Linked DNA regions of Cricetulus griseus. The main gene of each other region encodes a partner of the protein of the gene in region 2 in a complex. Links are inferred from orthologs where the notes say so. Each region holds a gene or a part of one and is shown on either strand. Other genes may lie near its edges.

Region 1 (4,517 bases), about 150 Mb from region 2:
CAAAGATCTTCTCCCAGACCCCTACAAACCTTACCTCTAGTGGGTCGACAATGTACATGAAGGGAAGAGGCTTTTAGTTTGTACCCAGGTACCCTTTTTATTCCCAGTTCTCCAGCTACTATCACCCCAATATCGTCACAGCTGCCTATATAACCACAGCCTCTCCTATCTTCCTGATCATAACCCCCTACAAGCGCCTATCAGACACCTCATCTGCCTTAACATCTCCCCTGAAGCAACTCTCCAAAGCTCAGATTGCTAAGGAGGACATGTAACAATGTCACCCTACCACTTCTCGTATTACCTTAACCATAGTGTGTAGCCAAGGCCTCCACAGCAGCTTCTTAGGCAGCCCCCACCCATGGTGTTTGTCCAGTTAGAACCCTCTCATCCTGATCATATTTTTCTTGTAATTAGCTTAAACTGCCTATAAAGCCAGACCTTGCCTAAGAGAATAAACCCTGTTACTTCCATCCTATCTTTGCCCGAAGAGCCCTGTGGATTGCTTTGTTATACAGAACACTAAATTAAGTACTGGTTTGTCAGAGGACTTGGGGCTCCTGAGGATTTTTACTGAAGCTGTGATGCACATCCTTTCCTGAGCTGGGATTTAATACAGATCCCTTGGATTTCCTCTGTGGGGCCAAACCTCTGTACCTCCCAGAAACGAGAGTAGGAGAGACAGGTGGAGAAGGGCAAGACTAGAAGAAGAAACAATTGATGGGGAAGGACAACTGTGAGGTGGTAAGAGGATAGGAACGGGAAGGAGCCTAGCTCTTAAATTTAGCTTTGCTTGAAGATCCCCCAATTGTGGCATTTGCTCCCCACCACTTCTCTTTTATTCTCGTGGAGGGAAGTTAATACAGAAGAGTGGAGGAGGTAGAGACAAACAAAATCCCTGAGCATGTAACCCAAAGACCGAGGAAAGGGCTCTAGAATGGGGAAAAGAACTTACAGGGTCAGGACAGACTAAGTTAGACTTTGGAGAAATTTCTCAGGGAAAGGGAACAGAGTCCTAGGTAAGAAGCAAATAGCAAGGATGCTTAAACAGACCTGTCAGCAGAACTCCCTGAAAGGCTCTGACACACACCAGAAAATGCAGATACCCAACCTCTGCAGTCCCCAGAAAGCTGCAGGGAAGAAGAACAACCCCCTTTTTCTTATATCTCTTTCCTGGTCAAAAATTTAAGACCAGTCAGGACTGACGTTAGATCAGCTGCAGTTTTCCCTCCAGAATCTTGCCTTTGCCCCCTCCTTTTCCTAGCATACCAAACAGCCCACCCCATTCTCACCACTGGTTGGAACCAGCAATGGCAGGGACCTTCAGGCTAGCCCAACTCCTGGGCAGGACTCTTGGTTGAGCACCTAAAGATCAGGGTAGTTTTGATTTCCCATGGCCCTTCTCACTATTCCCTTATTCTTGTGTCATCCTACCCTGACTGCTACAAACTGCTTCCCCCTGCCTAACCACAATGTCACCCACTGCAGGTTCCCTTCATTCTGTTGGCTTCTGCTCTGGGCCTTCTCAAGGCTGAGGGCAGTTATTTTGTCTCTAAGAGATAAAGATGTTGACACACCAGAACTTACATGCTTATTCGCATGTGCACGTTTCCAGCCCTTTAATCATCTCCATCATCGGGAGGCTGCAGACTGCATCTCTAAGAGGCGTGAAAAGGCTCCCAAACTCAAGTCTAAAGCAGTTTCGGACACCAAAGCTAAAGACATGAACACAAGGAGACAGAGGGCAGCAGGGAAAATGGAAAAGGGGTGTGTGTGTGTGTGTGTGTGTGTGTTAACCTGTGTGTGTGTGTGTGTGTGTGTGTGTGTGTGTGTGTGTGTGTGTGTGTGTGTGTGTGTGTGTGTGTGTGTGTGTGTGTGTGTGTGTGTGTGTGTGTGTGTGTGTGTGTTAACCAGAGGCTGAAAAGAGATGGGAATGTGAGGCAGCAGAGAACCGAGCAGACAACGGCGGGGCAGGGTTAAGTGTGAGATTACCACTTAAGTACATCTATGTGGTTGGGGGAAAAAGAGACTGAAGAAACAAATGTGTGGTAAACACTAAGGTCAGTAGAGGAAGACAGTATGTGGAATTCAGGTGAGAAAGACTAAGAGACAGCTCTTAATCATTCTCGAAAGCCTAGCTGTCTCTCAAAGTCCTATAATACGTTATCAGTGACTGTTGGTATCGAGACCTTTTCCTTCCTCAGTTGATCCTCAAAAACAGCAACGCCAGATTGAGTCAGTCAGACACAACAGACATGTTCACTAAATACCTGTTGCACGGCACAGAGATAAAGAGGTCGGCTCAGAAAAATAGAGAAGGGGCGGGGATTCCCCCACCCGGTCCTCCAGAGGGTTGCAGCAACAGTGTAGCTATAGACTGGCCCGGACCTTCCCGGGTGAAACCTTTCTCTGCATTCTCAGGCTTCAGAGGCCCCAGACGCCGCCTCCCGCCCCCCCCCCCGGCCCAGTCTCACAAATGTCACAACTGCAGAGCCAGAGAGCGCGCCTTCTCTAGCCCAGAGGCCCTCTTCTTTCACACACTACTGAACACCCCCCACAACTTTTGAGGGCACCCCACCACAGAGTCCCATCCTCACAGCTCAGCGCTTTCCCATTTGCGAGCCTCTGACGGCTCGGATCTCAGAGGTCCCTCGCGGCTCTCGGGATCCCGCGCTGTCCTCTGGATCCCATCCTCAACTCAGCCATCAGCGATCGACTCGAGGTGGCCGCTGTCCCCGCCCGGCCTGCCGCTCCCGCCCAACTTGCAGTGAGCGAGAACCTCCCGCCCGCGGCCTCCCTCCTGCAAACTTCCCTGCTCCCGGGCGCCCAGCCAGTCCCAGCCGGCCGCACTCCTCTTCCCAGGACCCCAGCCCACCGGCCCGGGCCGGGCCTCACCTGGTGCCCTCCCCGCGACGGGGGAGCTGGGGGCGGCGGCGGCGGCTCTGGGCTCAAGAAGGAAGTGAGAGCTGGAGGCCGGAGGAAGTGGGGGGTGGGGGACGGGCCGGCGGGGCCCGGGGCGGGCGGGCGCGGGGCGGGCGGCCGGGGCGGGGCGGACCAGGAAGTCGGCGGCTTCCCACCCCATCGCCCGCGGTGTTCTGCAAGCTTTGCCCCCCGGGCTGTCCCGCGTCTCGTTTCCCTCCACCCTTCGCCCTATGGCCACTGAGACCCCTCGGGTCTGGCCTCTCAAAGTCAGGTCTCCCCGCTTTCACTTGGCATCCCACCCCAGCAGAGGCCCGAAGCTAGGCGCTAGGCATTTGTTCTCTTCCTGGTATCTCCCGCCCGGCAACCTCCGCGGGCAGGCTGAGAAATGCCTTCCGCTCAGCGCGGGCATCTAGAGGTAGCTGTGGCTGGCGAGGGGTTAGCGGGAATGGGGCAGGCTGGGGCAGTCCCCACCCCTGCCCTGAGCCTTGGGAGATTGCCGGATGGTGGTGATTCAGCAGTGGGAAGGTCCCAGACCCCTAGGGAGGGTGGGGAGACTAGGGAAACTAGGGGAAGGGCAGCTGCCGTCAGCACCCCGGGAAAAAGACACGATCAGCAGAGCCGCAGGCGGAGCTGCGCGGGCCCCAAAAAACAGGATGTCGTGTCGTGGTTCCGCACTTCGCGGCTCCGCGCGGCTCTGGGGAGGGGGTGGGGCGTGGGAAGACGTGGGGCTCCTCTTGTTCCCCGACTTCGGCCTGGCGCGCAGCTGTTTGGCGCGGTGGGACCCCACCCAGGCCTGAGGTCCGCCTTGGGCCCTAGAGACAGGCGAGTGGACGGACTCGTGGGCGCCCCCTGGTGCTTCTAACCCAGGCCGGGCGCTGAGTTTTGACTGGAGAATCCAGTTCTTGGTTCTTTTAACAACTTTCTGGGTGCCCTACCACGTGCAGAGCTCCGCTAGGTGCAATGGAAACAGTACTTACAAGGACTTCCAAATAAAGAGGATCAATTCTGAAAAATAGTTTAACCTTTCCAAGTATCAATTCTTCTCTCTCTCCCTCTCTTCTCTCTCTCTCAAATCAACAAAAAATTCTCCACCCTGAGGATGTGAAAATAACAGAGTATGTGTCTGTGCTACTGTATCGAAAGTGAAGTTAAGACGATCAGATTCAGGATGGCTGGTCAATGACTGAGTGAATGAAAGCGTGTTCTGAGATCTTTCAGAAACCTGTTCTGATTGCTTTTGGACTTTCTTCTTCTTTGGTCTTTGAGACAAATTTCTCCCTGTGGGGAACAGAGAATAGAAGAGGTTAGGGGAAATTTGGGAGGACAAAACTGGTACATGGAAAGAGGTTTGTGAGTCCTAGAAATAACAGGGTCCTGAAGTGTACCTCACATTCAGGCGGCTTCAATGAAGCCATTAATAATGCGTTCCAAGCCAGATGTGGTAACACACACTTATAATCAGCGTTCAAGAGGTAGAGACAGGAGGTTCAGAAGTTCAAGTCCAGCCTGGGCTATATGAGACCTTAAGGGGAAAAAAAAAAAAAAGCCCTAGTCTGGCGTGGTGGCACATGCCTTTAATCCCAACACTTGGGAGG
Region 2 (4,584 bases):
TCTTCTCCCTTTCCAAGGGCTTTTCCTTGCTTTTCTCCTTTGTCTGTCTTCTGCTTTCCTCCTCTGCCTTCAATTCAGCTCCTCTGTGAGAGAGGGAGGGACAGGGTACATATGTGTGGGCCTCTTGCTGCTTCTGGTAATGCTGATTGTCCAGAGGAGTATTTCCTTGGCTTAAAGCAACATGGGTTTTGGAAAGATATCCTCCAAGGGGAGAGGTACGACAACAGATCGGAGCAGCTGGGCTTTTGAGAAAGTGCCCTGCTTTTTATACCCCACCCCAAGCAATCACCTCTCTGGACCTACAGTTCTGAGGAAGAGATCTAACATGTCTAAGGGTCTGGAAGAACAGTGGCAGAGCAGGGAGGAGGGACTAGAGGAAGGTAAAAGCCTGGCTTCTCACTCACCACTGACTCTGGGATTTTCTTAGTATGTTTCCCCAGTGGCCTCTCCCAGGATGGACAGCTCTCCATCTGTCAGCCAACAAAACATATACAGAACACATTGCTACCCTATGCTAGAAGTTCATCTAGATCTGTGAACAAGGTCACCAGCCTGCTCAAACTTCCATGCCAACCGGAGAGACAATTATAAAATAAACAGGTGAATATATAATGCCAAGGAGTAACAGATACTGAGAGGGAAACCTGGGAAACACAAGAGGACCTGGGAGAGCTGTCCACAAAGCTTTTTAAACTGACAACTGAGAAGAAGGAAGCAAAAGGTGAGTCATCAGGACATGTGAGGGAAAACTCCCCAGGCAGCCAGAATATCATGTGCAAAGGTCCTGGGGAGAAAAAGCAGTAAAAAAGAAAAATACCAGGAAGTCAGAATTGTTGCAGTTAACAAGGACATACTCCGTGTGTGTGGGGGGGGGGCGCAGGGCATCCATCATAGGACCACCCACCCTGTGGCCCAATGATGTTCAGGCACTGAGTTTCCACAGATTGTGGTCTCCCCAAGTTTCCTGTCCCCCAGCTTTCTCCTGCTTACTCTTTCTCCTGCTTACTCTTTCTCCTCACCAGGAGTCCTCCCAGTTGGGGCCATTCTGTCAGTTTATCACTTCATCTAACTTAACAAAAACCCAGTAGCAAATACAGTAAGAAAAGCCATATGCGCATTTAACCACAATTCTGAAAAGATAGCAAATGTACCATAGTGAGGAGCAGTAGATCAAAAGGTCATCGAAGGTGGGAGGGAGAATAAGAAAATGAGTATGGAATCTTTGTTACAAGCCTGCAAGTGAACTGGTTCTAAACACACTAACATCCCCAGTCCTGTAAATTGAGGAGTGGAAACAGTAAACCTTGAAATAACCTTGGAGATCTGCTGAAGAGGTGAAGACCACGACCAGAAGCCTTTAATGGACCCGCTCTGCTGCCAGCTTTCCCAATCTCACAGTCATTGCAAATAAACTGGATCCTCCAGTCCCAAGTTGTTCTAAAAGATTTTGATATGTAAAAGCTGATTATTTTTATTTTGTACATCAAAGAAAACAAAAACCAGAAATTCTAGCTCTGTTTCCCTCAAGTCACAATCTGTATCTTAGGCCATAGGCACGCGGTCCACTGCCCCTGGGTGCCTTTCATTGAGTTCCATGTGCCTCGGGAGCTGTCCAGAAGCCCTAGGAGCTGTCCCAGCTTGGGGCCAAACTCTGAAGCGTCGGGTCAATCCGGGTCCAACAATCTTTGCCCCAGCTGCCTAGTTCAAAGGGTTCCAGGCAAGAGAGTCAGTGGGAGCGTGCCCCCAGCCCGAGGGGCAGTGGGAGAGCAACCCCCCCGCCCGCCCGCGAGCAATGACGCGCGCGACACACACACACACACACCACACACACACACACACACACACACTCACACACACACACACACGCACGCACGCACACACACACGCCTAGCGCGCGCCCGCGGCACAGCACTTCCCAACCCCACACAAGCGCACCGCGGCCCGCTGAGTTCTCGATTTCCTCTTCCTCAAAGCCGCTGGGCTACCGCGGTGCGCGGCTCGTTCGCTCCCTCCCCAGAGCCCCACGTCCGCCCTCTCCCACGCCAGCCTCTCCATCGAAGCCCCCGCCGCCTTCCCTCCCGAACCCCAGAGGGAAGCCCCGCGAAGCCCCGGGAGGCGGGTCTTCCCTAGCGAACGCCCGCAGGGGTCCTCGCAGCCCATCAAGCCCCATCCTGGGAGAGCGCTCTGCGGGTATCCCCTCCCGTCTGCGACGCCCGAGCGAGCCCCGGAGTCCTCGCCGCCCGCCGCGACTAGGCGCAGCCTCCGGGCTCTCCCGCCCCACTATTGCTGGCCGCAAGGTCCCGGGCGCACTCGGCTAGGTTCCGGCACCCCTACGCCTCCAGCCCACCCTGCCCCGGGTCCCGGCCCTGAACCCCATCCCAGAGCTGCCCCCAGTGTCCGCTCCCCTCGTGCCTCTAGTCACTCGGGACCCCTCTCCGCCCAGACCTCCCAACTGCAGCGCGCCCGCCCCCCGCCTCGCCGCGGGGCCCCCGGGAGGAAACAAAAGTGTCTCCGCGGCGCCCTGGTCCTGCCCGGGCCCCGCCCGGGCCGCCGAGGTCAGCGAGCCGGGCGCCGCGCCAGCCCTGAAAACTTTACGAACCTGCCCGGGGTCGCAGGACGCGGTGACGAGGGTTCCAAGAGGCCGGAGAGCCGGGGCGGGGGCCGGGGCGGTAGACTGGTGGCCGAGGTTCTGTCGCCCCTCTCGGGGCCGCGGACGGCGGTGGCTCTGCCTCTATCTTGTGCCCATTCTCGCCCGCCGCCGCTGCCCGAACGCACGCACTTACACTCGGGTCGCCGGCCGCGGGCTGCCGCTGCTCTCACTTCCTCTTCCTTCCTCCTGCTGGCCAGAGACACATCTTGCATCTGGGAGCATCCCGCGAGCTGCCGCGAACTCTCCTCCTGGGCAGCCACTGCGGAGTTGCCGCCGCCACCCCAGGCACCTGCGCGCGGACACGCGTGGTTGGTGCGTTTGCTTCCCGCCCCCGCACTGCTGCCCGCCCCCTGCACGGTGCCTAGGGCCGGTTGCCTACGACTTTTTGAAGTCCCTCTACTTTAAAATTGAGAATGCACACCTCAGTTCTGCTATAAATAGTGTGTGCTGAGCATGACTTCTGATGAGCTCATAAACCGCGTTTTGCAGGCACTAATTAACTCCGCCACCCTCATAGCGCCACCTCTGGGGGACAGAAAGCTCATGGTACCTTTTTTATAAGCTTTCATTTTGGACAGCTTATTTGAGATTTTTCCACCGAAGGGGGAAGAAACTTAGGTGGGCTATTTTGAAACAGTTGCTCTAAGAAGCTCCCGTATATGTCTTGCCACTTTGTCGTGGGTGGCGTGGCAAAAATGACAGGCCGTTTCCTTCTCCTCCATCACCTGTAGTCGAAACTACAAGGTTTCCTTCAATGAAGCCAGAGACTCTTGTCTGGTATAGCGTGGCATGAAGCAACATGTACTACCCTGAATTTGTTATTTGTGGTGATTGTAGTCATGCAGCCTACTTCAGTTTCCAAAGAAGAAATCAAACACATTTAACTCCCAATCTAGCAGGAAAGAGGAAAATGACAGTTGGAAAGTTCAGGAGAAACACCTGTCTTCTGATGGAGCCAATGGAGAGGGAAGGGAGCTGCGGTGCATGCCCTCTTCTCTAGAAAAGGGGAGGGGATGGGAGTACTCCCTAGAAGATACAATAATCTAAGGCAAAAGTCAACGCTCTCTTTAATATTAATCACAAGAATATTTACATATTAGCCCTGTGCTAACTGCCCATTAGTAGCCATTAGGGATTTTGCATGAAAAACAAAATAAAATAGCTGTTTCTATACTGATTTTATCATTTCATGTGGCTGCTCTTGGCCACTAAGTCCGAGTATTGGGCGAAAGCCTGGAGATTTGGATGAACAAGACTCCTGGTCTACTTTGTGAGAGAATGTCTCCCACCTTTATTGTGGAGCAGCCTTATATACAAACTTACAAAAACCCCAGGTCAAAGGGTTCACAACAGGATATTGATCCCAGTGGGGTGAGGTCAGGAAAACAGGAGGTACCTGTGGTTATGCTGGAAAACAACTCTTAGAGACCCCATGGGGGCTGGGTTCCAACAATTTCAGTAAATAATAGTTCTAGAGTTTCTATGTAATAAATCAATCGGATAGTATATTGGGTTACCACGTATGTGTATGATTAAAATTAATTTCACCAGTTTGTTTATTTATTTATTTACTTATTTATTTGGGCTTTGGAGACAGCCTTTTTCTGTAGGTAGCCCTGTCTGGCCTCACTCTATAGCCCAGGCTGACCTCAAACTCACAAAGATACACCTGACTCTGCCTCCCAAGTGCTGGGATTTAAGGAATTTTCCACCAGTTTATTTTTATTTAATTTTTTCATACAATGTATTTCAATCATGCTTTCCTCCTCCCCAAACTCCTCCATGAGACTTCCCACCTCCCCACCCACACAATTTCAGCCATTTCTTTCTCTCTCACTCTAAAAAATGAACAAGCAACCAAAAAGAAAACAACCAAACCAATAATAATAATAATAATACAGGATACACACACTTGTATTAAAAACATAAAAACA

Evidence for each region.
Region 1: the proteins of Elmo1 (region 2) and Rhog are in contact, whole or in part, in a crystal structure (PDB 7Y4A), measured with the Homo sapiens proteins. The link is inferred for Cricetulus griseus from reciprocal best matches to the Homo sapiens genes ELMO1 and RHOG. Residues at the interface, in NP_001193409.1 of Homo sapiens: Lys9, Val10, Ala11, Glu13, Tyr18, Pro19, Leu21, Met22, Ala54, Asn71, Gly72, Ile74; in NP_001656.2 of Homo sapiens: Val36, Phe37, Asp38, Trp56, Tyr64, Arg66, Leu67, Leu70, Ser71, Pro73, Gln74.

Annotation. Positions count from the first base shown.
Region 1 is NC_048596.1:97,133,420-97,137,936, reverse strand, and holds the start of Rhog (rho-related GTP-binding protein RhoG), read right to left. Parts: upstream 3,027-4,517; 5' UTR 2,896-3,026; intron 2,623-2,895; exon of another isoform or gene 2,598-2,622; intron 1-2,597.
Region 2 is NC_048596.1:242,434,114-242,438,697, reverse strand, and holds the start of Elmo1 (engulfment and cell motility protein 1), read right to left. Parts: upstream 3,069-4,584; 5' UTR 2,784-3,068; exon of another isoform or gene 2,600-2,783; intron 1-2,599. UniProt on the Homo sapiens protein: Involved in cytoskeletal rearrangements required for phagocytosis of apoptotic cells and cell motility. Acts in association with DOCK1 and CRK. Was initially proposed to be required in complex with DOCK1 to activate Rac Rho small GTPases.